7 linked regions of the Xenopus tropicalis genome follow. The protein of the gene in region 1 interacts with the protein of each later gene in a pairwise test. Links are inferred from orthologs where the notes say so. Each region holds a gene or a part of one and is shown on either strand. Other genes may lie near its edges. The genes, in order: necab2, tex11, ehhadh, kansl1, bysl, iscu and nek6.

Region 1 (3,500 bases):
GTGTCAATAACATTTTCTGTTTGTATTTGTAATATTTTCCTGATGCATTTATAAAAATCACATCATATCACTAACTCTCAGCTTTACTTTTTAAGGGGAACTTAACAAATGAACTTGCCATCTATATATTTCTTCTTAAACATAAGTTTTTTGGATTGTGTTCTTCACTAATGTAAAATCCATGAAAGAGAAAAACTACCGATAAACTGCATGTATTTTCCCTTGAACAGTACTGCATCAACATATTCCAATACTTTTCAAATGTAGAAGGCTAACGGGTAATACCGTATGTGAGTTTTAGTTACTTACCTTTTCTGATTTGTCTGTTCATCTATGGCATCAACTGCACTTTCCACTGAGCTTAGAAGTGATTGAATCTGATTGGCTGTCTCCTTCAGAAGAAAGCGAGTTACAAATTGGTCCACATTGGTACCCTTTTCATATACCTGGGAAGCAAAGGCAAGCAGAGAATTATGCTGTCCCAATCTCATAATATACCCTTGTTGTGAACACCAGGACAGAAATTGCAGATTTTCAAAATAGAAAAGACAATAAATATGTTCAGACAATGTTCAATAATCTGATATCACCCAATTTGCAAAATATCATGGCTTTCTGTATACATGATGGGTGGACAGGGGGAGGTGTGAATGTGTCCGACCTTGAGCCCTCTCACTTGTATATGATAAATCTAATATCTAAATCTAATGAATCTATTACAATGAAATATGGTTAGAGAATGTCAAGGTGACTGATAAAAGCTGCCAATTTAGTCCTCCCAGTCCTTCCCAATTACACTGAAGAGTATGGCCAACCGATATTTGGCTAAAAATCGTCAATATATCAGTGTGGCAAGTTTTCCATTTACAGTCATGGGCAAAATTGTTGGCACCCCAGAAATTTTTCCAGAAAATCAAGTATTTCTCACAGAAAAGTATTGCAATAACACGTTTTGCTATACAAATGTTTATTCCCTTTGTGTGTATTGGAACAGAACAAAAAAGGGAGGAAAAAAAGCAAATTGGACATAATGTCACACAAAACTCCAAAAATGGGCTTGACAAAATTATTGGCACCCTTTAAAAATTGTGGATAAATAAGATTGTTTCAAACATGTGATGCTCCTTTAAACTCACCTGGGGCAAGTAACAGGTGTGGGCAATATAAAAATCACACCTGAAAGCAGATAAAAAGGAGAGAAGCATGGACAACAGAAAGAGGAGAGGAGAACTGTCTGAGGACTTGAGAACCAAAATTGTGGAAAAATATCAACAATCTCAAGGTTACAAGTCCATCACAAGAGATCTAGATTTGCCCTTGTCCACAGTGTGCAACATTATCAAGAAGTTTGCAACCCATGGCACTGTAGCTAATCTTTCTGGGCGTGGACGGAAGAGAAAAAATTGATGAAAGTTTTTGCTGCCTCTGGCACTGGGTGCCTTGAATGTGTGCAAGGCATCATGAAATCTGAGGATTACCAAAGGATTTTGGGTTGCACTGTGGAGCCCAGTGTCAGAAAGCTGGGTTTGCATCAGAGATCTTGGGTCTTCCAGCAGGACAATGACCCCAAACATAAGTCAAAAAGCGTTCAGATCTAAATCCCCTTGATCATCTGTGGAGAGATCTTAAAATTGCTGTTGGGAAAAGGAGAGAGACCTGGAGCAGAGTGGTCCAAAATTCCCAGTGAGAGGTGTAAGAAGCTTATTGATGGTTATAGGAAGTGACTAATTTCAGTTATTTTTTCCAAAGGGTGTGCAACCAAATATTAAGTTAAGGGTGCCAATAATTTTGTCCAGCCCATTTTTGGAGTTTTGTGTGACATTATGTCCAATTTGCTTTTTTTCCTCCCTTTTTTGTTCTGTTCCAATACACACAAAGGGAATAAACATGTGTATAGCAAAACATGTGTTACTGCAATAATTTTCTGTGAGAAATACTTGATTTTCTGGAAAAATTTCTGGGGTGCCAACAAATTTGGCCATGACTGTATAAGGTCCTTGTCAGATTTATATTTACTTTTTATTTATTTCATGTTATTTATATAGCACCAACAAATTTACATAGATTATAAATCATTCACAACTCCCCTAAAAATAGCCATACACGTACAGATTTTAGTCTTCCAACAAACGTTCGGAAATTGATCCCTAAAAATAGGATGAACATGAAATAGTTGGCAGACACCAATTATATGAAAGTGACTTCCTGGTTATGCATTGTAGGTCCCCCAAGTATAGCATCAGATACGCAATACATGTGCAGATTTTATCATTATCTGACTGAAATTTTCTAACCTGTCCGATCGACTAAACGACCGATCGCCATGGTACTAAAATTATCGGGATGATAATTTTGAGCCCACATGCAGTCTGAAAATCGTACAAAGGTACATTTTGTATGATTATATTGGTGCCTGTATGGCCAGCTTGAGAAGCTTACAATCTAAGGTCTTAGTGATGGGCGAATCTGTTCCGTTTCGCTTTGCCAAAAAATTTGCAAAATGGCAAAATGCACTGAAGTCAACGGATGACAATTTTTTGTCAAATTTTCGTCAATTTTGTGTCAAAACCTGGTGAAAAGTTTCACTTATCACTAATCCCTACCATATTAAAGTGATACTGACAGCCACTTAAAATTTTATTTTACACCTGCTGTTGTATTTTAATTTGTATCAGCTTTAAATTCCTTATAAACTAAATCTGCAACTAAATCGCTTCATAATTATGGTAGCACGAATTTCAGACCCACGGAGCAGCCATGTTTGTTCTCTTCTTCCATGTTTTAATTTAAATGCCTTCCAAGTGAATAAATATGCCCAATCACAAACCTGCAACACACCTTCTGCTTTCAGCCAGTGTGTGAAAAGCTCAGCTCCATTGTCTATGTGTAATGGGGAGGCGGGAGGGAGAGCCCTTAGAAGCAGGCAGGCAGCTACGGGAAAGCTTAAGCTGGCCTGCTATTTAATTTTTTGTGGTAAGAGCAGAGAGGGGGGAAGCCCTTTGAAGTAGGCAGGCAATGGAAATATCAAGCCTGCCTGCTATCTAGTTCACAACACCATGCGATGGGAGGGAGGGGGAACTCTTTGAAGCAAACAGCAAGCTGAATCCTCCCAGTTGATGATGTAGTATAAAGGTACCTGGTGGTCTAGTGGGGCGGTGGGGACGCCGCCGCCGCCTCCTCCATTGGCGTCCTTTCCTAGGCACGTGTGCACACGGCGCGCTGCCTTTTAACACGCATGCGTGTTCGCTTATGCATGCGCATGCACGCTCGTGTCCGTCGCTCTGCGCATGCGTCATTTTGGCGCCAAAATTCAAAAATTTAAGGCGCTTGTTGCTTGTAATCCCTGCCCAACGTAGGCTTTCCTCCTGTGAGTTCCTGGGTGTTGTTCCTGTGTTGTTCCTGCCGTGTTTTGACCTTAGGCTGTACCTGACTTCTCTTGTTTGCTGCCTGTATTGACCTTGCCTGTTCCTGACCCTTCTTGTCTGCTGCCTGGACCGACC
Region 2 (3,998 bases), on another chromosome or scaffold:
TTGTGGCTACTAAAATAGACAATGCTAATCATTTACTGATAATTGTCTTTATGTGTGTTTTAGCGGAAGCAGTTCTAAATATTGTCTATGGCAAGGTCATTTCTGGAGTTAAGTAAACATGAAAGTAGCTGCTACTAGTAGCTCACTGTGTTTTCACCCTTAGGGCTCTGGCACACGGGGAGATTAGTCGCCCGCAACAAAACTCCCTGTTCGCGGGCGACTAATCTCCCCGGATTGCCATCCCACCGGCGAAAATGTAAATCGCTGGTGGGATGGCATACGCGGTGGCGTGATTTCAGTATGCCACGTATGCCATCCCACCGGCGACTTACATTTTCGCTGGTGGGATGGCATTTCGGGGAGATTAGTTGCCCGAGACACGGGAGATTTGTCGCAGGCGACTAATCTCCCCGTGTGCCAGAGCCCTAAAGGATAGCAACAACGTCCTTGACAATCATACTTGACACCATTCTACTACTCATAATAGTGCTAAATAAAATGGTGCACATGGATGGCAGTCCCATAGAAAGAACTTTGTTACACTGTCACTGCGCAGCATTATATTGTACAGCTTAATCATTCTCTAAACAAACCCAGAATTGAGGCTCAAAATGAAGTTGCCAGACTATATTGGAGGCAATGTAAGTGCAAAGCATGCTGAAATAAATGTAGCCCTAGCCCCTATATATAGGGACCTGTGTATATGGACTCATGTAATCCTGTTCTTACTAACATAGTTCAGACTCCATGATTTCAATTTGAAATAGAAATATTAGACAGTTGACAGAGGAGACATTATCCCTATTGACATATATTACATATTGACAAATAGAAAGACAAGGTCGCAGTGAAGGTCACAGTGAAATTTTTTTTAATCTGTTCATGCCATTGCTTTGTTTTGCTGTTCTGTGATACTATAAAGCAGACATGAAGATTTTCCAGATGTCACTCCCTTCACAGTGAACATGCTCAGTCTACTCCTTGCCTACATAAATATTATCCCTCATAGTAAGAAATATGCTTTTGTCTTTCTTTATTTGAGCATTTCTGTAGGAAAAAAAAAGCTTAAATTAAGTAAGGCTTCAATCTTGCTGTAATGGGCCCAGCCTGCTGGGCTATTCACTCTGAGTAACCCTGTTTTACTGTGTGGTTCTGTGGCTGGGACTTAGCTCCGCCCCTTCCTTAATAAGCAGCTGTGAGGAGAATCAGAGCAGGGAATCCCCTCAGATATAGAGAGCAGGGAATCCCCTCAGGTATAGAGAGCAGGTTCTCTTCCTGTTTGTGTAGATATGTGAGAATCTGTCAGTCCGTATGGATGGTGTATAACTTGTGAATGCAAATGTGTGTGTTTGTGCATGTGTGTGACAGTTTTATAATATCTGTGCCTGTGTGTGAGAGGTAGTGTTGCCACCTGCCCGCCTGGCAAAACATACAAACATAGGGAGACTGGTAATTGTTTTCCAGAATGTGGCAATTCTAGTGTGAGAGGATTATACAAACAAAATATTTTATGCATATATGTGTGAGAGGGAGAATATACATGCCGTTGTGAATTTATATAAGGGTTTGTGTATTATAAGATATAATAGCAGACAGGGCCTTTCAAGCTCAGTCATGAGGTGTAGAGAGATGAAACACTGGAATTGCCCCCCCAGCGAATTGCAGAAAATAACCCAACCCCATGTCATGAGGGAGATAATAAGCAATTTCAGGCCTTTTTGAGACCTTATTTCATGTTATCATTAAGCGTGAAGGCCTAAAAACACCGGGACTGGATTATTATCTCCCTCATGAGATAGCGCTGCATTTTGCCATGCCTATTACCCTTAAACCGGCCATACACACACCGATAATATCGTACAAACCTCGTTTTCACTTCACGAAAATATCCGCCCTATGCCTCGTCTGCCATCAGCCTAATGCACAAGTGAAAATGCATTGATTCAGCCTGATTTAATGAATTATATGGGGCATTACCATGTGGTGACGAAAGGTTTTACTTTTATGGCTTTAGCTTGTTGTACCTACAGATGCAACCAGGACCAGATTTGTGGAGAGGCAACAAAGGCCCGGGCCTAGGGAGGCAGAAATTTAGGGGCAGCATGCCACCCCGCCGCAACAAAATTTTTTAATTTTGCACCCATAGGGAGAAATGGGGACCTTTCCCCACTGCTCCGTATTGGAGTTGAACTATTTGCGCATGCGCAATCGCTGCCGGGGGGGGGGGTGTGGAGTTCGCACATGCGCGCTCGGGGAGGAGAGGGGGGGCGGCCTAGGGGCACACGGAACACAAATCCGGCGCTGGATGCAACTGATTTGCAACTGGTGAAGTAAATGGTTGTTGGGAGGGTAATGATTTATCCCTGTCAATACCACAGTGGAATAAACTGGAGATCCACACAGCACTTATAGATGAAGTCAGGAACCATTTATTTAAAGCCACATTCACAGAATCTTTACAACTTTATTCACATACAGGGTCGGAAAAATCCCGGTGGGCCCCGACGGCCCAGACCCGACTCTTGCAGCGCTCCACCTACCCGACCACTCCTCCCCTGACGTGTTAAATTTACGCTCTCGGGGTAGGACGTCGGGTGGGGGGCCCTGCGAGGGGGGTTGGGGGGCCTGCCCCCCCGGTGGGCCCTTCACCCCCCTTACATCCCCCATACATTCATACACCCTTAGTTGTTATAACAGATCAGTGAGTAAGATATCACAGCAGACAGATGTTTCAAGTGTGTCAACAGACATCCTGCTGCCCTGAAGATATCTAGCATAAATGGACAAAAATAAAGATTTAGGGCAGCTTAACCTCCCTAAAAAGTAAAAAACATATTTACATGTGACTTATTCAGTATAACTCCCAACATTTAAATTTCCAAATGCAGACCAAATTAGTCCCACACCTGGCTCATCCTAGCCACACTCAGCTACACCCAACACTCCCAAATCTTCCTTTAACCCATTATTTGTTGAAAAACCCCTTCCCTTTTTCAGGCCTCTAGACCGTCTGTCAAACAACTGTGACTCTGGGAGATATGGGCAGTGCCTCAGTTAATACCTTCAGCATACCTGAAAACTAGGGACCTTAAACTGTAAACTCCACTGGGGCACAGATTAATGTGACTAATGTATAACCCCTGTAATGTTTCTCTGTGCGCATAATAATGTACTCCTGGGCTCTATAATCTGCTAAATGAATTTCTTTCTCTAGAGGTTTTGGTTGATTGATGAAAATGGAGGATGGGTCGTCTTTGAAAAGAATAACAGGTAACATTCATGTATAAAAATGGTCCCATTGCTTGACATTTATTGCTTTTTTTAAAATGAAATAAAATATACTTGTAAACACTGACAAATAAGCACACATTCTTCCCTTATGGCAGCCCACCTTTGGCCTGTAATACATTTTTAATCCTAAGCAAAATGCAGAGTACAACAGTGCTCTGGATGCAAGAGATGTGTAAATTAATATGATTTTGTACTACTTGGTGCTCTTGCATCTGCATACCCCCCAACATTTGAAAAATTAAAAGAGGGACAAAAAGATTTGGCGTGCAGCGCAGCAAATTTTTGACCACGCCTACTTTTGTGGCCACGCCCCAACTACCACCGCAAGTGTGCTATACCCTCATACTGTACTACTTAAGGAAAGCAATATAGCAACTACATATAAAATACAAATATAGAGAGAAGGCAGTCAGTTGAGAGTTATAAGTGAGTTATAACTATCTACCAGTTTTGCCTCCCCATACACAGTGCCCCCAAAGGCCCAATAGATAGTACCCCCCATGCACAGTGCCCCCAATTGCCCCCATACACAGTGCCCCCAACTGCCCCCATAGACAGTACCCCCATACACAGTGCCCCAATTGCCCCCATAGACAGTACCCCCCATACACAGTGCCCCAAATTGCCCCCATAGACAGTACCCCCCATTCACAGTGCCCCCATAGACAGTACCCCTAATACACAGTGCCCCCGAGTGCCCCCATAGA
Region 3 (4,257 bases), on another chromosome or scaffold:
TGTGGTTTGCTACTTTCACCTTTTACAGTGAAAGCCTACGGCCTAAAAATGTTTGTTTCACCTGCCCTCTGGGACTGCATTATTTGAAGAGACAAACTTTATGGTTTCCTCCCCAAGGCATAGCACTTGTAAGCCAACAAGAGAAAATTATCTGTAATTCTGTTATGAACTTTGTGCAATTAAACTTTATTTTTAAAGCAGCAGCATACAACCAGGGGTTTCTATTGGAACAGTTTGGCACAGTGCTGAGTAGCCGCATGTAGGAGCAAAATTATCAAATAGTTTGCCCATTACTATTCAGTTATTCATAATCCTTGTACATATCAGATACCAAAAGGCCACTTTAAGGGGAAATTCACACAGATGAGGACCTAATATTATTTCCAGTGTTCTTATGACAGGGAAAGTGCCAGGTATCACTTCCAAACAACAACTCCACCAAAACTAATACTGGAGCTCATTACCACAGTTTGACTATTGCTGTTATATGCTTTTATTCACTGTTGTTTGTAACCTGCCACAGCTTAGTGGCAGAGCAGGTAAACTGAAATGGTAAGAACCAGACAAAGCCAAATAGTTTTGTTGCTATGCTGACTGCGCCCAGATGGACGCCTGTCCCGCTGATCTTAACATCTTAGTAGATGCTAAAGTGACTGCACCTTTATATGTGCCACACGATAGTGGCACGATAATGCTAATTCCAGACCTCCTCCGAGAGCCACTCCTTCAATGGCAGCCACCACAGGCTTCGTGGTGCTTTCTATTTCAGCATTTATATCTTCTAAAGATACGGTTCTCCGAGCTGCAGAACTAAACTCACGGATGTCTGCTCCTGGGGCAGTAAAGAGTGTATTAGAATATGGAATCACCTATTTTAAAAAGAAAATGATAGCACAGATCCATCCAGTGACAGAAAAATAAACACAACCATACCTGCACTGAATTTTCCATTTGCTCCACACAGGACAATGGCCTCTACCGATGGGTCCTTTTTGACCTCTGCCAATTCCTTGATAAGTGCCTGACAGACAGGAGTGCTATGGCAGACAAATAAGCACAATATATGGTAGCAAATAAAAGCAAATGGTCCCTCTTTTGTTGATTTATTAGCCCAAACATATTCTCAAGGAAACACACAAATTGTACAAAAACCAACGCACCTTTAGCTAGCAGACTTCAGTTCTTTTGTGTGTTGTGTGATAGAGCCACCATATTAAAAAGAATTATTTATCAGTGAACCAGTTCACCCAGTAGCCATATTTTAATGAAATGGCAATATTTAGTCCAGCTTTACAAAAGGATATTATTGAGCCCTAGCATCTCTCAAGATTATGACTACAATATTACAGATGGAGCAGGCATTTCTTATAAGTTACTACTGAACACAGTGCATCTTTAAAACCAGCTTCATCTATACATTGCCTCTTTACAGGGAAATACACATTAAAGGTGGCCATACACGTTAAGATCCGCTCGCTTGGCGAAGTCACCAAGCAAGCGGATCTTCTCTGATATCCCCACCTATACTGGGTGAATTTAGGCTAATTCGGTCGTTTGGCCCTGGGCATAAGAACGATGGTAATGGGCGCAGTTGGTTTGGGGACCACATCAACTAGCCGATGCGGTCCCTGATCAGACTAAATTTTTTAACCTGCCCGATCGATATCTGACCGATTTCAGGCCAGATGTCGGTCGGGCAGGCCCGTCGTTGGTGCCCCTACATGGGCTGATAAGCTGCCGAATCGGTCTAAGGGACCGATATTGGCAGCTAGAATCGGCCCGTGCATGGCCACCTTAAGCCTAGATTTCACCATTTCATATTTCTTGTTCATTTCCTGCCAAAGAGATATTTACTGCAAGTTACCTTAGAGCATATTCAGGTAAAGTTGCCACTTTGTCTATTAATATATATTGCCCAGTTTATATGCTGATAAATAATTCAGCTACCAGCAATTTCTAAATTACTCTATATTTCTCAGAACTGCACTTTCTTTACCATGCACATCCCAGAAAAATACTGTCCATGAAAATGGACAGCCAAATGCTGGTAATGCAGTGCAAGCAGTGGAGGGCTGCAGTATGGAGATACCGGTCACCTTATAGAATTACTCTTCTAGAGCACTGGAAGGTACTGGGGAAACAGAGGGAGGGATGCAAAATAGGAGCCAATTATAAGGCTATTAGAAGCTTTCAGAAGGGCGCAAGCATAAAGCGCTGTGCAAAGTGCCATTTTCAGATGCAAATCACAATGTTTTTTATCCAGATTAAGAGTGTAATTGCAGGCACTCTCCAAGTGGCATATACAATCCCTTGTGCAGAATGCACCCATACACATGCAAAGTGGTGTCTATTTTGGTTAGTTTCATCATAAATTCTGAGTTATCTAAGCATGCTCAATTTTGCATTCCAAACCAGAGCATTGCACTTGCCTTAAACTTGCAAATTAGGATTTTGAGTGTTTAATCTGTATTCATAGCTACTGTGGGACTACAACTCCCAGAATTCTACAATGATCAGTGGCATTTAAGGTGTTACAGTTCAGCTACACTTAGATACAAAGGTCGAGAAAAGGCTGGTTTGTACTTCATGGTGTATTGATTCCAGTCCACCACAAACACCTATAGCTGAGGTCCCTTCCCACAACGAATCCAGCTCAACGTCTTACCTCAGCGCATTAACAGGAGGATTGTTGATTTTGATGACAGCCACTGTATGTGACAGAGTCCGTGTGGCAGCCATCGCCGCTGCTGTATAAGTACAAAGTTCAAGTGCACCTACACTTTGAAACAAGAGCCGAGAAGCCCCGCCCCTTCCCTTGATATGTAACGAGTGTTTGTTCCGACACTTGACCAATCAGTAGCTCAGTGGGTGTATCACAAATTGTGTTTGGGTAGAGAGGGAAAGCCATAGCTATGCAGTATAGCAAGAGTAGCATGCTAGTCACTAAAAGCTGCTGATGCATATTTGTGTTTGTTTTTTTCTCTTCTGTAAGGTTTAATATGAACTGCTTCAAGATTATACTAGCATGTATAAACATACTTTGGTGTGGCATATTTGCATGGCCTTGTAATGTTTAAACCCAAGTTAATGAATGGGAAAAGCTAGATTTTAGAAAATTCATTCTTGGGAGAGAAGTATACATCTGTATAGCCGATTTAACCCACTCCCACATTTAAAGAATGATCTGTACTCCACCTTCCTACCAATGCTACTATCTAAAAGATTTTTAGATAAAATTCCCAATATACTCAGATCCTATACCCTAACCTCCTAATTCCTACAACAGTTAGTATGGTACTCCTTTTCTTATCCCTGCCCAACTACAAATTGTATTCCACTTCCCCAACTTGTTTTCTTCATGTGTTAGGCCCTGATACTCTCTTTGTATATCCTTGCCCAAAAGCTTTTTATTTCCCCACTTTATTTTTCAATTTCCTGCCTCTGTGGTTCATTTATTTTTTTCTAGTCCCACTCCAGAGGAGTGGAAAGTTAAAAGGCAAGCAGAAGGCAGCACCTGTGGTTCGCCATCTTGAAATTATAATTATTCGTTCATCAGTATTGCTGCATGGAAGTGACATCACGCACCGGTGCTCACTTGCAGACGTGACGTCACATGCATGCAAAAATGCCCGAATGAAGCCGAAAAATTGCTACCTGCACAGATTTCAATATGAACTTCGGAGGGTTTCAAAAAATTCGTGAGAATGCTATTGGATAACGGAAGACAGGGAGAGAGAAGCACCACGTTCTTATGATCCCTCTGGGCTTGCATGTAAGGCGGAAATTAAAGGACATGTAAACTCCACACACAAAAATGTAATCAGTGAACAGCCTCTTTGAAATCTCTCAATACCTGCCACACTGGTTGTCCAGAGGTTAATACCGGTAGTAAGGCTGCAACATCTCCTTAATCACTTAGATTTGCATCTCCTCCTGTAACCCACTCGGCCCCCTCCCTCAGGAATTTGCTTTGGCTGTTGGCTTGTGGGCATGCTCAGTTGTTGTAAGATCAGATTACTAAACATGCCCCCTAATCTAGCAGCCAGTGAAGAGATGGCATTGCTGGTTCCCATAGAAACTCAGCTCTAGCTGTCTGCTTCAGTTTTTTTCTCCCAACCTTCTCTCCTGAGCTCAGTTCAAACACATCAGAACTTTATCAGAGATAGTTCTGCCTGTGTGCTGCTATTCGCTTTAGGAACATGTGATGGTGCTGGCAAACGGAGGAGATATATGCAGTACAACTAATGCTATTTGGGT
Region 4 (3,500 bases), on another chromosome or scaffold:
AGTGGAGAAAAAAAGAGAAATACGCAGGGTGAAATAAAAGAATGCCAAACATCACATTTCAATACAGATACTGCCAGGAGCCTGAAATGCTTCCATATACAAATAAAACCTTATAGTAACAGCATTAAAACCTGCATATGAAGAATTTGGTAGCCTTTGCCGGATTCACCTCTCCAACAGGGGCATGTGAAACTAATATCCCCCACCCTGCTATGGTTTAGGCAGGCTTCCTTGCTATCAAAGCAGTTTACCACCTGGGGCTGCTCATTCAGCTGACTGTGCCGATAAACACACGCCAATGAAATAACTAAGGCTAAGACTAAGGGGAGACAGGAGCCCTCCAAAATGTTCTGCAAACCATGCATAATCTGCAACAATCTCAACTCACATAATTTATACATTTTTGGAACTAGTCCATGGACGTGAAGCAATCTCTTCCTCATTTTCTATTTTTCCCTTCTTCATTGGTGTTTTACAACACTTGTAGTATTTATCGGTCCTAAAAGAAATGTCTGCCCCTCTGATTTGCAATTTTTAAATGCTTCACTATTAACCTTCTTACTTGTGAGTTAAGAAACATAGATCGGTCCTTCATGCTTTTAGATTTCTTCCTTTTTCCTTATTGAAACATGTATGTGTGTATGTATTATATTAATTTATATAAAATCCATACAATAAGAAAATACAAAAAAGATACTACTACTTACATGTTAACAATCCCATTAATCGGTCTTTGCAAGGACTTGGCTTCTGTGGTGCTGGAATCAGCCTATGAAGAAGCACAAAAAGTTGACGTCCTTGTTAACAAGAAAAAAAATTAAGCCATGTTTATTGTTTGGTGCCCTGAAATGAGCCAAGTGTGCAGGACTAACATGCTTATTTTTATTCACGTGGTGCATGGCTGCATACACGTGTCAACAGCAGGGGGCGCTAGAGAACAAGAAACAGACGCAGGGAATTAAATCCACACAAAAGAGACAATCACATGACATTAGCTATGACATTAACCCCCAACTGACTGTGGTTAAGACATCTGCACGCTTATTTACAGGAGGGAAGTCTGCCCTTTCCTGCAGCAAAATACAAGCAAATAGCCACCATGTGCACAAAACGATAGTAGCTTCATTTTTATACCCACCCCCAAATCCACTCCTCAAATATGCTGCTCCTCACAGAACCACAACTCACCCGCCTCTCTGCATCTGGTGAAGGAGAAGAGGACGTTCTTGAGTCCAGAAGGGAAGAGCGCAGAGGCTCCCCAGCTGTTTCGGAAGGACATGCCTCCCCCAGGACCACTTGCCCCTAGGGACAAACAGACAGGCCATATGTTAATAGCAGATTCACTGTGCATGGGGCATTTAGAAGAAACCAGCCCTATATCACCTCCCTGGTTCCTTACCTTCCCTGAACGGAGCTGTCGGTAGAAATCTGTATGCTGGCGAATCCTGTACTCCAGGTCGGAGACATGAGCTTGCAGCCAGTTCCATCGACTCACCACATCCGCACGCTCCTGGGCCCAGCTCCATTCACACCGGCGCTTCCTGCACACAAATAAAATGATGGGAGATCGTATTTAATTGTCCCATGACTCCCTTAACCATTATCCTAATTAACAAGGAATAAAAGTTATGACTGTTCCAGTAAAATGCTGGCCAGTTGAGTTGGCAGCTGGTATTTACTGCTATATTAGGGTCACCAACAGAGCGCTTATCCGCAGTATTGTGCTCTGTGCAGGAGGTACCAAGGGTGGCACAGCTCTATGGCATCTCTCTGGGTTACAGGCTATGACAAGACCTAGTTGGTCACACCCAGCCAACACGGCACATACACAATTCAGCCCCCAGGCCAAACCATTCAGAAAGGTACTAGGGGTGGGTCTATTGTGACTTAACTGGCTCTTCCCTTTCTAGTGGTGTTTTGGTTATAATATAAAGGAGCAAGTAATGCCAACAGGCGCTCTACACTCAATGTGACAGGAGCAACAGAAACTAGCAGAGAAGTGTCAGGAGATGCATCTTGCACAAGTAAATTAAAGCTTTTTGCCTTTCTGTCTTGCATCCACCAGAACACAAGGGCAGGGGGCTCATGATATCAACAGTGAAAAACTGCTAATACAATAACACAAAATTGCCCAGAAAAGTATTCTGAGTAACTATACATGGATTGGTATGTGCCCAGTTAATGTAACATAATGCAAACAAAAGGACAGAAGGCCAAGGTTGTTTGCCCCGCAAAAATTAATCACTTTCTAATTGTTTTGGGCTATTCCTAATATTTTGCTTCTTGCACACTCACTCAGTGGCAAAATGCTGGCTTATGTATGGTAATCACCTGATCTGCAAGCGCACCAGCAGGGTACTATAACCATCAATGGAGAGGCAATTCCTAGTATTCTGCCACCTACCCACCAAGCAGAAAACCAGTGCAAATAGCCTCATGCACCACTTCCCTAAATGGGTTTGACTCTTTTATAAGAAATTGAAAGGGAGGGTGGGCAGAATGGCTTTGGAATTGCTATATATTAAGCAGAAGGAAGGCGTTTGGCGAGTCACTATGTAGTAACCAATCCTCCACAATGAACCTGCAGTCACCCAGATCCCTTGGTAAAAGCAGTCTGTATGTGGGAGGGAAGTTCAATGCAGCAAAACATCTGAGTGCATGGAAGCAGCTGTTTATCCACTTGTCCTGTCGGTGGGGGCTACGCACCAAAAGCAGAGGCCTATTTTTCATGGGCCTATAGGCTGCCATCTTGGTCAGAATGGACAGGTCAGCATCTTTTATTGGCCTGTGTATGGCCAAATTAAAATAATAAATAAATTGCAAAGCTAACTGCCCCTATAATAAACCTTTGAGACCTTAACTAAATGCAGGAGTAAAATGTCCTGCCCAGTAACACTGACTGGATGGGGATCAGGTAATGTTTGTAAGAAAGGCGGAATAGGAGCCCTGAAACATATACAGCTCCTCTGTGCTGGGACCTGGTAAAATTTTGCCAGCACATCCCAGAACACGCCTTATTGTAGGATGGCTTTACTTGCCCTTTAAATATAACCATGAAAAAGTATTATTACTCATTTAACACATGACCCTGCCCGTTACAGAGTATTTAATCATCCACATCAGTCCGCACTACTACGGAACTTTCCACACACAGCAGTGGCCATTCCACAACAAAATCCAGGTTGGGATTGAAATATACATATAGTCAGGCAGCTTAGTAGGGCACAACCAATAATGCCATACTCCTAATGGTGCACACAGCATGGGATGGTTTTTAAGAGGTGATGAATGCATTTATATTTTCCTAGTGCGGGCTTGGGTTGGGTGGGATGAAAGCTGTAATTGTGCAACAATCTTAGGGCCCCAGGATCTTGTATCATCCCCCCACCTGCCTTTATGTTCCCCTGCTGTGGATATCCATGGAATCATGTGACCCTTGTGCTGCATGGCTGGGGGTTCGACAGTCTGTCTGGGGATTTAATAGCAGCTCAGACAGGACA
Region 5 (4,272 bases), on another chromosome or scaffold:
GGTTCCTAGAACACTGGGCTGACTTTTCTTTGGGGTACAATCTATACAGCCATGACCGATTGCTCCTTAATGGAATGGGGGTCCATTGTGCTGGGGAAAAAAAATGGCTAAGAGGCTGGAGGAGTGTTTAAAAAAGGCAGGGGGGGGGGGGTTATGGGAAAGCTAGTGTAGATCTGGCAGTGGGATAAGCAAGGATACATACATTTTACCAGCTAAGGAGATTCCTCTGTTACATGGAAAACCCCTAATAGTAACCTCAGATCTAACTCTTAGTTCTGTAATGTAAATATTAGAGGGAAAAATAGTAACCTCCACGGCATGCTGGCAAATGCACAGAGCTTGTCAGGGAAATTAGAAGAGCTGGAGTCTATTGAATGTACTGACAATTAGGATATAATTTGTATCACTGAGACCTAGTGAGATGAAACAAGTGACTGGGCTGTGAATATACATGGTTACACCCCTTTTAGGAGGGATAGAGGGATTAGAAACAATGGAGGGGTTTGTCATTATGTAAAGCCATATACTAAAGAAATTAGCAGAGACAGCAATTCAGTTTCATTTTGCTCTACTGGTTGCAACTATAGGTAAACTAAGCATTCATTCACACTAGGGATAAATGGGATGACTCAAAACCCACGAGAACCAAGCCCTAGAAGCGGGTTTAAGAGGGTGGCAGGTAAAACTGCAACCAGGTGATGTATTAATTCTAACCCATCTCCTGTGGTGACTGGTCCCACCCATATAAGAGTCATCGGAGAAGAACCACATAAAAGTTATAGTAGAAGCTGGGTTGGAAAACAGCAGGTTAGGGTTGAAAATGTTATGAATCACTCATCACTAATTTGTTTTTATTCAAAATCATCTTTTGACTAAAATGTACATATCCAGACCTGTTAAATTTCACAAATGATAGTGTATGGATAAAGTTCCGTAATCTTTGCTATAAAGTATTTCTATTAATGATTATTTTATTCAGGGGCTGGCCAAGCCGACCGGGCACCCTAGGCAACCCAATTGGCCACCCTGCACCCCACCTCTCATGTGTGTACATGAGAAAGTGCACTGACATCCCGGGTAGGATGCGAGAAAAGCAGCTGGGGCAATAGTGTGTGTACTAGGGGGTAGGCAGAAGAGGTAACTGTCACACCCCCACATCGTTGCTCCCTTCTGACTACCCCAAGTTCTGGCCCGGCTTTATTTGACCCATGTAACCCTTGGCGTCTCCAGATAGTTGCTACTTTACCTTAGTGGAGGGTTCTTATTCATAAACATTTCCATTGCCTTTTCATCTTCAGGGTTAATTTGTACCTCCTCGTTGAGGGTACCTTTCTCCAGACTGGCTGCCTTCTCCAATGAAGGCCACTCATCATCTTCAGAGTCTGAACCCTCTGCTCTGTTCTTGGAATCTGAAGGGCAAGGATTTACAAAAGATAATGATTGATTTGCCAATATACAAGCAAAGATAAATATGAAGAAATAATGACCTCTAATTTGTAAATAAGTTAATTCAGACTGTACTTAGTGAATGCTACAAGGTCTGTTTCTGTGGAGCACCGGTTCCAAACAATTCCCAGGGTAGGCCCAAGAGAACATGAAATATTTGTAATGCGAGTTAAGGGTCACAGTCTGAATACATTTAGTGCATGTTAGGCTATATTACACACTTTTTGTTCTAATTACAGCTAGTATAACTGAGCATACTGTACCTTGTCATGGCTAAATAGAACTAGAAAGCAGCACTGCCTGTATGGTACCTTTAATTTAAAAAGGGTCCTAAAAACATTTTTGATAAAATCAAATCTTAAAAATTAAGATGAAGGTGCAGTGTACAATCCATTTTTGCACACATGATTCCGGTCTTTTATAACATATACACTAAAGTATATATGCTATGTGGAGTATAATCATTAAAGGAGAATGCAAGTCAAAATTTAAAAAGCATACTGCCCAATAGTCCTCCTATTGTTTAGTAAAAATGCCACACTTTTGGCTCACCTAATCAAATATTTACTCAGTCACACTTACTTCACATATTCTAGAACAGGCAGCCATCTCTAAAAAGGTATTCTCCCTTCCTTTCCCTCCTTGCTTCATACTGCACATGTGTTTGCATGGAGATGCATCAGCATATAAAACAGCACATTAGATATCCTTCATTTTATCACAGAATGAAGTTAGCAAATTATTTATGTACAACTTTTCAAATATTCTTATATGTGTATGACTGTATCATATTATATACCTGGAATGTTCAATTTGAACCAGCTAATGAGCATTTGAGCATTTCTTTGGCCCCCAGTAGACTTTTTTTGCATGGCAAAATTTCAATATAATCTGGCCCTAAATGGATTACATTAATGGATTATTAAGACTGTCCCATACTCGTTTCTATGTATTTACAACTACAGCACTAGTTGTTGGTTATGACTCAGTCTAAAGACTCCCCACTGATTTTATATACCGGTTTAAAAACTTTTGTTTTGTATTCTGCCTTGGAAATGTTTCTTTACCCTTTTTTACCTAAAACAGTTGTCCTCTCTTTAGGGGTCACATTCCCCAGACTATATTCGGCCTCCAATTCCTCCTGCTGAATACGGGCCTGCTCCAGAATCCTTCGGGACAATTTCTCGTCCACGTATCCATCATCTTCGGCGTCGTCTGTAGGTTTCCCCTTGCGCTTATTACGGAACGAGGGTCTAATTTCTCCCTCCTGTTCGATCTGATCAGCTAAGGGGAGTAAGCGAGAAGCAGCTCCCCGAGAATTTTTGTGCTTTGGCATTTTCCTGACATACACGTGCATAGATCCACACACTGCGCATGCTCCTATTCCCCTGGCATCGTACGCCTCGATGTGGGACTTGCGTGAACCGCAAATAATGACAACAATTTTGAGCGCCGTGACGTCATAACACGTCGCTGTGTTTTGTACAATTAAGTACCAGCATGGGAGTGACTTGGTAAGTGTTTGTCATTTTTAATGTAGTAGTAGAAAAAGAAGAAACGTCATTTTGATGTTTGCAGATACGTGTTAACTTCTGGATTGTTTTTATCTTTTGTAAACTAAGTTTACGCTTACTTATTTGCATGACTGCTGCTTTGTTAATTATAGAAAAACGGAATCCTACGAATTCAACACTGCAGTGCAGTATCACACTAAGAATGCTATGGGTAATAGGGAGACAGTTAAAAGATATCCTTTTTTAAAAATCAACACTGTAAATATAACCTGTTGAAAATGTATTCTGCCTCTTATTTTCAGGATTTTTTTTTGCCTTTGTTAAGGAATAATAGAATTTTTTAATGATAATTTTGAACCCCCAATAGCGTTGCTGGTAAAAAAAAAAATGTGCTGGATGCCAATGTTATTAATAGGGTATAAAGTTATGAATATAGGAAGACTGATATACTATACCAAAATATATCTGTCTTATGTTTATCTTCCTTTCTTATAAATAACATTAACAATAGCCATGATTTCTTTTTTTGCCTAGGCAGCAACCATACTTCCTATTGCTGTATGATTGCCTTCAGCCTGCATCCTCCAAATGCCACCATTGTACATAACCCACAATGCATTGGAATGCTCCAGGAAAAGAAAATCACAGTAAATTGGATATAGATTTTCTCTTTTCCTGTTCACATTCTCATGGCAGTCCGCACAATTGGGAGGGAACATACACATACCAAATGCTGCAAAATACTTTACTTTTTTATTCAAAATCTGCAGAAGCAGAAACATTTTTTAATGCTTCACAAAAATATTAGGACACCTCCAAATTGCTGCTTTGAAAATCTTTTCTGGTGACGCTAAACCTTTGAGTGCCCATGATGCTGCCATACTGGATACATCTTACAATATACATGCCAGTGTTTGCTTAGCTGCACTGGTAATATGAAGAGAGATTTTGTTTTTCTTAACTTCTTTGCCCTCTTTAGAGTCATCTTAAAGGAACAGTAACACCAAAAATGTATATATTTTAAAGAAATTAAACTATAATGTACTGCTGCCCTGCACTGGTAAAAGTTGTGTGTTTGCTTCAGAAACATTACTAGAGTTTATATAAACCCTGCTGTGTAGACATGGGGGCAGCCATTCAAAAGAAGAAAAGGCACAGGTTATATAGCAGCTAACAGATAAACCCTGTAGAATACAATGGTGTCTTATCTGTTATCTGCTATGTAACCTGTGCCTTTTCTCCTTTTTTCCTGCTTGAATGGCTGCCCCCATGGCTACACAGCAGCGTATTTTTATAAACTATAGTAGTGTTC
Region 6 (4,154 bases), on another chromosome or scaffold:
AGAGGTGATGTTAATTTAAACAGTTAAAAAATATGCTCTTGAGTGTAATGCAAATAATTCTGAGGCCTGTAATTACACTGGGACAGAAACACAGCAATCTGTATAAATATGGCCAAGGTTACTTGGCCATCTTCTGTGCCCTCTATGATTATGTGACAAGTGACAAATTAAAAAGAACTTGTGGTCTGAACAAGTCACAAGATGTTTACTTCTGCTGCTAATCTTGTGGCAACAAAAAGTCACACATGGTTGCAAATCTATTACAGATGCCAGGGAACAGTGCCAGAGAACAATGAAACCTACACAAACGTAAGCTTGGCCACAAAATCTGAAAAAGTCTAATTAAAGGAGAAGGAAAGGCTAAATCACTGAGGAGAGTCAAATGTTAGGCACAAGGCACCAGTGATTGTAATCACTTACGTGAAACCCCTGGCTGGTGCTCCTGTTACACAGGCAGGTGAGCGATCCTCTTCCTTCCTAACATTTTGGCACCTACCAGTGATTATAACTTTTGTTCTCCTTTAAATTATTACTAACAAAAATGAATTAGTTTAAAAAAAAAAAAAAAATCTGTACAATGTTTTTTTTTTTTTATTGCTTGCTGTGAAAAACTATGGAGTACAAATGGTACTATTCAGCATACAGAGATACTGCTGTTAATAGTGAAATGTTCTGTCACTATATTGACCCACATTTTTATGCCAGCCTTGTTTACAACGTGAATACAAACATTACATTTCTGTAAAATAAGCACCAAACCACTTTTATTGAAATGCTAGATTTAACCCTGTTTTAGGGAGCACTGCATATAATTAGTTAGATCTAGGCCTATATGGGTTAGGGCAGTGACTCCCAACCAGTGGCTCGAGAACAACATGTTGCTCACCGATCCCTTGGATGTTGCTCCCAGTGGCCTCAAAGCAGGGGTTTATTTTTTTAATTTCTGGCTTACAGACAAGTTTTGTTTTTTTTTTTGCATAAAAACTATGTGCACTGCCAAACAGAGCCTCCTGTAGTCTGCCAGTTCACATAGGGGCTACCAAATAACTAAACACAGTCCTTATTTGGTAGCTTATGTACCTTAACTTTGGTACAAAAGTTTTTGTGTAAAATTGCCATTTGCTCAGTTAGTATATAAGCTGCAAATTTAATGGAAGGCAATGAATGCTGAGCCCCTGTAAACACTTGCATCAGATTTTATCTTGTAAACAACAAACATCTGTAATATCTATAGCACAGGCATCACAGTGCTTTAGTTCTTTCAAGGAGAGTTACAAAGGTCAAAACACCTATCCTGACCCATACTTCATTCCCATTCAAAAGAATGGCAAAATCCCTATCTATACTATGTGCTGTCGTATTAACCATCAGAGCATTTTAAAAGTCATATATCTCTAAATTGTTTTAAATACTTTTAACTTTTACTAAATACCGGTGCCAGTGAATATGGGTGTTTTGGTCTTTACCAAATCACAGGATTGCCCTCATCCAGGAAAGATGTAGTTAAATATAATGTCAGGTCTGCCAATCAACTAGCAGCGAAGGAATGAAACTGACCACCCCCAAGATGAAGATTAGCTATCATGCCACAATCCAAATTGTATGTGTTGTTGACACAGGAAAGCAGCCAAAGGAAATAAAGTGGCACAAATTCTTAATGAAAACAAAAAGTAATTTAGAGATGTATAATTTGTTTTTGACAAATGTGTTTTTGCTTGCCAAAAGTGCCTTGTATGAGAAACTCACAACAGGTATTGACAGAAAGATAGCCATGCATACTTTTAATGATATTTTTTGCAAAACTGTCTATAGGGGCAGAAAAATAAGTCTGAGAATTTGGCATCACAACCACAATATTTCCTTTTCCTGAATTCTCCCGTAAATGTCCCCTCATAACCTTGAAACACTTCAGCTACCGTAGTGGTGCAGTGAATTATATTTATATATGTACATTTGATACTGACACTAAAAAACTACTCTTCAAAATACAAATGTCCACGAAAAGTTGCCTATAGGTCATGTTGCTCGTTTTTTACCGAAAGAGCTGCATTTGTGAGTAATTGTTACTTGAAGTCCTAAACCAGTTTTACCAACCTGACTGTCCCTTCTTAGCCAGTCAGTTATAGCTTGTAATTCTAACGGACAGCATGATGAATACTTTTCTGGCAAATTAATCAATAGCATGCAAAGCCTATGGTATGACAGAAGTAAAAAAAAAAAGAATACATTTTTGATGTCAGTATCTCTTATGGCAAACATGTCTTACTTAGCATAAAGTTTTACCATATTCCCTATACCCTCAGAGTGCTAGAGTCAGTCATTGTCAATTCCTATCAGTTGCTAACTCGGCTTCTCTCTTGAGACACCTTTTCTCTCAAGCCATTCGGGGAAGTGAAGCTGACAACCCCACTGGCTGCTGTTACTGTATTTCACCACAACCGAAGCTGACAGCCTTCTATTAAGAATTAAAACGACTCATGTTGTAGTCCTCTGTAAAGATGGTTACGGTGTTAAAAGATAAACGTGTCGGCTTGCATTGGCAATAAGTACTTTATAGTATGGGCTGCGAGGCGAGCGCTGTCACTGTGACACCTGTGTCACCTTATGTAACACTCGTTTCCTGCTCCCACACTACCCTGTTCCGTATTGGCCCCGTACGCCCCACGCACAGCGCTGCATACCTTCTTATGATAAGAAGCACAAGGCACCCGAAACTCGTGCACCCCACATTTTCTCCATAAGGAGCAAAACACCCGGCCCACGCCAGCCATAGCGTCCTCCACTCGCGCAGCTAGCAAATAGGGACGCGGCGTGCCAACGCCACACAACGTGCGGGTCACATGGCCTGAGGGGGCGTAACCAACAATAAAGTTTGTTGCAGCCAGGTTGCGTAATAAGGTTCAGCGTTCTATTATGTGTAACGTTGAAGTGTGGAGCTGTCATGTACTTGGGCTTTAGCTCATTCTGCAGGGATAAGTTTCTTTTGTTGCCCTATAACTTTATTAGGTTTACCAAGTTCAACCGCAAAGTCAAGGGACTCTTTATGCCTATTATCGCTAACGTGGAAGTGGAATTGATGTAGTTTACATCCAGTAGTGTAATAAAGTAGCGCGATATCGGAGTTGGTTTTGGTCAGTTTTTTATTCCAGGCTAGAAGAACCTTTGTACGTATTTGTCATAGACATGGGTGTCCGCAAAAACTGCGGGGAGGAAGAGTCATTAAGTAAAAAGCAAACTGTGTTTTACGTACGTATTAGGTTTATTAGCAAAGCCTGTAACGCTGCTCGCAACTAATAAGTGTAGAACCAGGGGGCTGTTTAAAGTGATGGCTCACCTTTTATTTCACTTTTAGTTTGTTATATAAAGGCCAATTCTATTAAACTTTTCAATTATATATTCTTAAGTCTTTATTATTTGTTTCCATAGTTTTTGAATTACAGTATTTGCCATCTTGTTCTCTTTGCAGCTTTTAAAAGGGGATCACTGACACCTGAGACAAAAAAACTATTGCTCTGTGAAGCTACAGTTTTATTGTTTAATTCTTTTCTCAAGGAGCAGGTAGCTGAGAAAAACCAAGGACAAGCTGGGCAATATGTTACATTTCAACACCGATCTGGGTCAGGTGTGTAGAATTCTAGGGGGGGGGGGGGCAAGTGGCCTTCCTTGCCTCTTTTTGCAGAGGCCTATGGCCATGGACAGTTTGTGCTGGGCCAAGTCGGCTGGGCATCCTAGGCAACCCAGCCAGCCACCTCACCCCTTTGCATGCATGCATGCATGTTGACTACTGGGGAGGTAAATGACGAGTGGGAAGTGGGAGGACAAGAGCCCAGACTAGTGACAGGTTACATTGTACCCTGGGCACATGCCTCTTCTGCCAGACCCATTTCTAGCCCTACAGAAAGTCACTATATATTGGGCTGGTGCAGGGTTGCTTGGGCCTCTATGTGCTTTAAATCAGGGGTTCCCAACCACCGGGCCGGGGACAGGTGCTGGGCTATGGGCTGTGCTGAATCGGGTCACCTCTGGTCCCACACAGCCATGACAACAGCTATGCAAAGCCCAGGAAGCTTTCTACTGATTGCTACAAGGACCAAAGTACTTAAAGGAGAAGTAAAGGCTACCAAAGAGTTAATCTCAAGCTGCAGGCTTACCTT
Region 7 (3,500 bases), on another chromosome or scaffold:
CTGAATTTTTTTGTATTTTTTACCGAGTAGTAAATGTTTAATGGCTCAGCATTAACATTAATAAACAGTAGTTCCAATCTCTTACTAAATTTAGTTAAAATTTCCTTTTAAATCATCCTTTCCTCTCCATTACACCACAGAATTTGCTTTCCCTAGTAATCTATTAATTTATATTATTTCTTCAATAAAGAAAAGTGCATAGACAGACAGCATTAAGCATAAGAATTGGCTCTTATTGACCAGACCCTCCCATACGGCAGCAGGAGCCATACACAATGTGGCCTTCTGTAAAACTGCCCTCACTATATAAAACGGATACGGTTTCCATTTAAATCATCCTTACACTTTGAAAAGCCACTTTATAAAAAGCTGATGGGAGTTCTGGTTTAAAAGCTGTCTGCAGGCTCCTGGTAAATGTGATCAGATTTTTACATGCATTACAGAGAGGTGAAAACAGCTTGTAAACTACTCATATGGGATTAGCAGATGGACTGTGGTCATCAAGAAGTACTTGGTAACAGCTCCATTTATTTGAAATGTTCGGTACAACTTATGGGGAAGAGGAAAAGAGGACTGACAGTCACATGTTTGTATCTTGTATTATTGTAATTATTTGCTTGCAAACAAGGCACCCTTTCCTTGCTTTTTTCTTTCCATGACCTTTCTTTGTCATTGTAATCTTTCTGTTTTAAAGCCAGAAATAATTTTTAGAAAAAATTTGGATTAAAATGGGAGTCTGTGAGAGATGACCTTCTCTTAGTTCAGATCATTTTGGATAACGGGTTTCTGGATAATGAATCCCATGCCTGGACTTTAAAATAATTCTGCACCATATCTAGAGAGCAAGTTTGGATTTGTTAATACATGTCATTTTTCTGGCAGTTCTTTAGGGATTACTTATATATACATAAAAAAATGTATATATATATATATTTAGTCAAATTGTGTGTCAGTACTGTATGCTAGGTCAAAACATGTAAATACATATATAATAAGGATCAGCACATCAGGTTGCATATCTTCTCTTTATTCACCGTGCAGTCCAACAATCTTGTGTGTATTATAATTAATTATGCACCACCTGTTGTAAAATATGAGGATATAATATAATATAATATATTAGAAGTCACCTTGGAGTTCCATGACCTGTATAAAAGCACCAAGCCTTCAACTGGTTCTTGTATGTGGTCATGAAACTCCTTGGTAACCTATAATATCCCTATTTTTTACAACAGGGGGTACATTATTCACTATATACATTTGTTTAGCTGTTCCCCATTCCCCCATTTTTACAAATATAAATAAGTGCAATTTTCAGTGTATGCTCCTCACTTCAGATACCTTGTGCCCCAGGTCAAATTAAGTTCAATAAATTACTCCACTTTGGAGTAATTTATTGAACCCCATAATTTAATGTCTCTATAAGAGAACACTGCCATAATATAAAGTGCTATAAGAAAAATGAGTAGCGGAGCACCACCAAGATAAAAAACAACCTTTTATTCCATATTGAGTAAAAGGCACAAGTACATCCCCAGAGGACCTAGCGCTTAACGCGTTTCGTGGCCTCCCGCCATTTCCTCAGAAGCACTTTTAAAATTTTGAATTATTTGATAAAAATGCAGTCTATGGGAGATGGCCTTCCTTAATTTGGAGCAGTCTGGATAACGGATTCCCTACCTGTAATACCAGGTACCTGGAACCTTGGCAGATTAAACTGATTTAAAAGCAATGCGCTTTTTTAGAATTTTAGGTTATGTATTCAAATTTTTTGGTACTAGGAATATTTGCACTACATCTTCTACATTTAGCACATTTCTAAATGACCGGCAACATATGCAAAAGTTGTGTATGAAGTGTAACTACCAAGATCCTACCATATCTAACAAAAGATGATTTGAAACCCCCTATTAAAACTGTTTAAAAATTGAACTCATCCATTGCAGGGATAAACTGCAAACATCCATAGATAATGTAAAGATCATTTCTAATGCAATACACATGCACTGATTCAGGAGGAGAATTACTATTAGGCAAAAGGAAAAATTACCCCAAAGTTATCCTGCCGGTTGAAGTTATGTTTAATGACCCGACTGGTTTAGGGACATGGCCACAGGGTGGATTAACAATGGGGCAGATGGAGCCTCTGCAGCTACAGGCCTCTGCAAAAGACCTCAACAGACCTTATTATGAAAATATTGTGCTTTTGTAATAAATGGTGTGGTTCTTGCAGCATTGTGTACAGAAAGTGTGCCTGTGCTAAAGTATGTAAATGTAGAAGCATTATGCATGACCCTATCCCTGCAGTGCAGATGGTGGTGTCCTCATATAATGTATTTTTGTTTTATCTTTTACATTTTCTACAAGAGAGGCCCATTATAATTCATAAATTCAGGCATAATGTGGCCATGAACAGAGCAAAGAGCAAGAAAACTAAAAACAAGCAAATTCCATTAAATTTGCTTGTATCATAAACAAAAAAAAGAATAATTGTATGTGACTTCAAAATAGTAAAGAATAAAGCCATTTATGAATAATAAGGCCTTGTTTAAAAGGTATTGCCTCATAAAGCCATGCAAGTATTGTATCATTTCTCATATATATATAAATATATACATGAATATTAAAACATACCCTTCATTTAGGAACAGGTTGAAGTTTATCCATGGATTCCTTGGAAAGCATGAATTGAAAATAAAGCAATAAGCATGGCCTGTGTTATTTGTATTGAATATTTGTGTCTCACATACACACATATATCTCACTATTAAACCTTATCTCTCTGTATATTTCCCTGCACAGTTGATTAGTCGCCACTGCCTGCATAATTCTTGCCAAGTTTATAGGGTCCACCACCCAAAACTAATTTTGCCTCTGACTAGAGGAGACCTGACTCCTGTAACATTATGTTTCAACTGCAATTTACAAACTTTAAACTATTATTTTTTGTTTTCAATTAGAAAGTTGCTTAAAATTACAGTTTCTTCCACTATTTTAGACTGTGTGCAGACACACGGAGCTAAATTTTGTTGCGGAAAATGCATTTTTCTGCCAAAATCCACTCTGTATATCTGAAGCCAGGCCAATGCAGTGCCTGTAAGTGCAGGCACAGGAGCAGACAGAGGTCAGTGGGATTGCGCGGCCTTGTGTGAGGATGGAAAAGGCCCAGTGTTTCCAAGCTTTAAGTACCTGAACTTTTTTCAGGGCCACAGGCTTTCTGTCCAAGTGGCAGGTGGCTCTGTAGACCTCACTGAATTGCCCCCGTCCGATCTTCTTCTCTATCTTGAAGTCTGCCAAATTGCACCGGTAGGGATAGGAAGTCATGTGTCTCTGTAAAAAAGAGAAATAAAACAATAAGTCCTGTATGTGAACTATGAATAGTTCCATGGACTTTTTAACCTGTTGCTAAATTATTACTCCCAGCTCTCTTCCAAAAGTCTGTCAGTGATAAGGCATGGCACTTATACTTGATACAGGGCAGCTGGTTTGGCACCCCTATT

The links.
Region 2: the proteins of necab2 (region 1) and tex11 interact in binary tests that used the Homo sapiens proteins (3 or more experiments, as listed by UniProt). The two-hybrid records come from large-scale screens. The link is inferred for Xenopus tropicalis from reciprocal best matches to the Homo sapiens genes NECAB2 and TEX11.
Region 3: the proteins of necab2 (region 1) and ehhadh interact in binary tests that used the Homo sapiens proteins (3 or more experiments, as listed by UniProt). The two-hybrid records come from large-scale screens. The link is inferred for Xenopus tropicalis from reciprocal best matches to the Homo sapiens genes NECAB2 and EHHADH.
Region 4: the proteins of necab2 (region 1) and kansl1 interact in binary tests that used the Homo sapiens proteins (3 or more experiments, as listed by UniProt). The two-hybrid records come from large-scale screens. The link is inferred for Xenopus tropicalis from reciprocal best matches to the Homo sapiens genes NECAB2 and KANSL1.
Region 5: the proteins of necab2 (region 1) and bysl interact in binary tests that used the Homo sapiens proteins (3 or more experiments, as listed by UniProt). The two-hybrid records come from large-scale screens. The link is inferred for Xenopus tropicalis from reciprocal best matches to the Homo sapiens genes NECAB2 and BYSL.
Region 6: the proteins of necab2 (region 1) and iscu interact in binary tests that used the Homo sapiens proteins (3 or more experiments, as listed by UniProt). The two-hybrid records come from large-scale screens. The link is inferred for Xenopus tropicalis from reciprocal best matches to the Homo sapiens genes NECAB2 and ISCU.
Region 7: the proteins of necab2 (region 1) and nek6 interact in binary tests that used the Homo sapiens proteins (3 or more experiments, as listed by UniProt). The link is inferred for Xenopus tropicalis from reciprocal best matches to the Homo sapiens genes NECAB2 and NEK6.

Annotation. Positions count from the first base shown.
Region 1 is NC_030680.2:48,267,409-48,270,908, reverse strand, and holds part of necab2 (N-terminal EF-hand calcium-binding protein 2), read right to left. Parts: intron 447-3,500; coding exon 310-446; intron 1-309. UniProt on the Homo sapiens protein: May act as a signaling scaffold protein that senses intracellular calcium.
Region 2 is NC_030684.2:44,770,466-44,774,463, forward strand, and holds the start of tex11 (testis-expressed protein 11), read left to right. Parts: upstream 1-1,198; 5' UTR 1,199-1,253; intron 1,254-3,214; 5' UTR 3,215-3,230; coding exon 3,231-3,270; intron 3,271-3,998. UniProt on the Homo sapiens protein: Regulator of crossing-over during meiosis. Involved in initiation and/or maintenance of chromosome synapsis and formation of crossovers.
Region 3 is NC_030685.2:54,570,281-54,574,537, reverse strand, and holds the start of ehhadh (peroxisomal bifunctional enzyme), read right to left. Parts: upstream 2,801-4,257; 5' UTR 2,740-2,800; coding exon 2,666-2,739; intron 1,038-2,665; coding exon 934-1,037; intron 833-933; coding exon 660-832; intron 1-659. UniProt on the Homo sapiens protein: Peroxisomal trifunctional enzyme possessing 2-enoyl-CoA hydratase, 3-hydroxyacyl-CoA dehydrogenase, and delta 3, delta 2-enoyl-CoA isomerase activities. Catalyzes two of the four reactions of the long chain fatty acids peroxisomal beta-oxidation pathway.
Region 4 is NC_030686.2:17,274,763-17,278,262, forward strand, and holds part of kansl1 (KAT8 regulatory NSL complex subunit 1), read right to left. Parts: intron 1,542-3,500; coding exon 1,400-1,541; intron 1,303-1,399; coding exon 1,189-1,302; intron 770-1,188; coding exon 708-769; intron 1-707. UniProt on the Homo sapiens protein: Non-catalytic component of the NSL histone acetyltransferase complex, a multiprotein complex that mediates histone H4 acetylation at 'Lys-5'- and 'Lys-8' (H4K5ac and H4K8ac) at transcription start sites and promotes transcription initiation.
Region 5 is NC_030678.2:70,761,285-70,765,556, forward strand, and holds the start of bysl (bystin), read right to left. Parts: upstream 2,801-4,272; 5' UTR 2,783-2,800; coding exon 2,524-2,782; intron 1,410-2,523; coding exon 1,247-1,409; intron 1-1,246. Other genes in the region: med20 (mediator of RNA polymerase II transcription subunit 20), read left to right, coding at 2,947-2,960. UniProt on the Homo sapiens protein: Required for processing of 20S pre-rRNA precursor and biogenesis of 40S ribosomal subunits. May be required for trophinin-dependent regulation of cell adhesion during implantation of human embryos.
Region 6 is NC_030677.2:146,313,442-146,317,595, reverse strand, and holds the start of iscu (iron-sulfur cluster assembly enzyme ISCU, mitochondrial), read right to left. Parts: upstream 2,801-4,154; 5' UTR 2,772-2,800; coding exon 2,682-2,771; intron 1-2,681.
Region 7 is NC_030684.2:29,198,623-29,202,122, forward strand, and holds part of nek6 (serine/threonine-protein kinase Nek6), read right to left. Parts: intron 3,331-3,500; coding exon 3,190-3,330; intron 1-3,189. UniProt on the Homo sapiens protein: Protein kinase which plays an important role in mitotic cell cycle progression. Required for chromosome segregation at metaphase-anaphase transition, robust mitotic spindle formation and cytokinesis.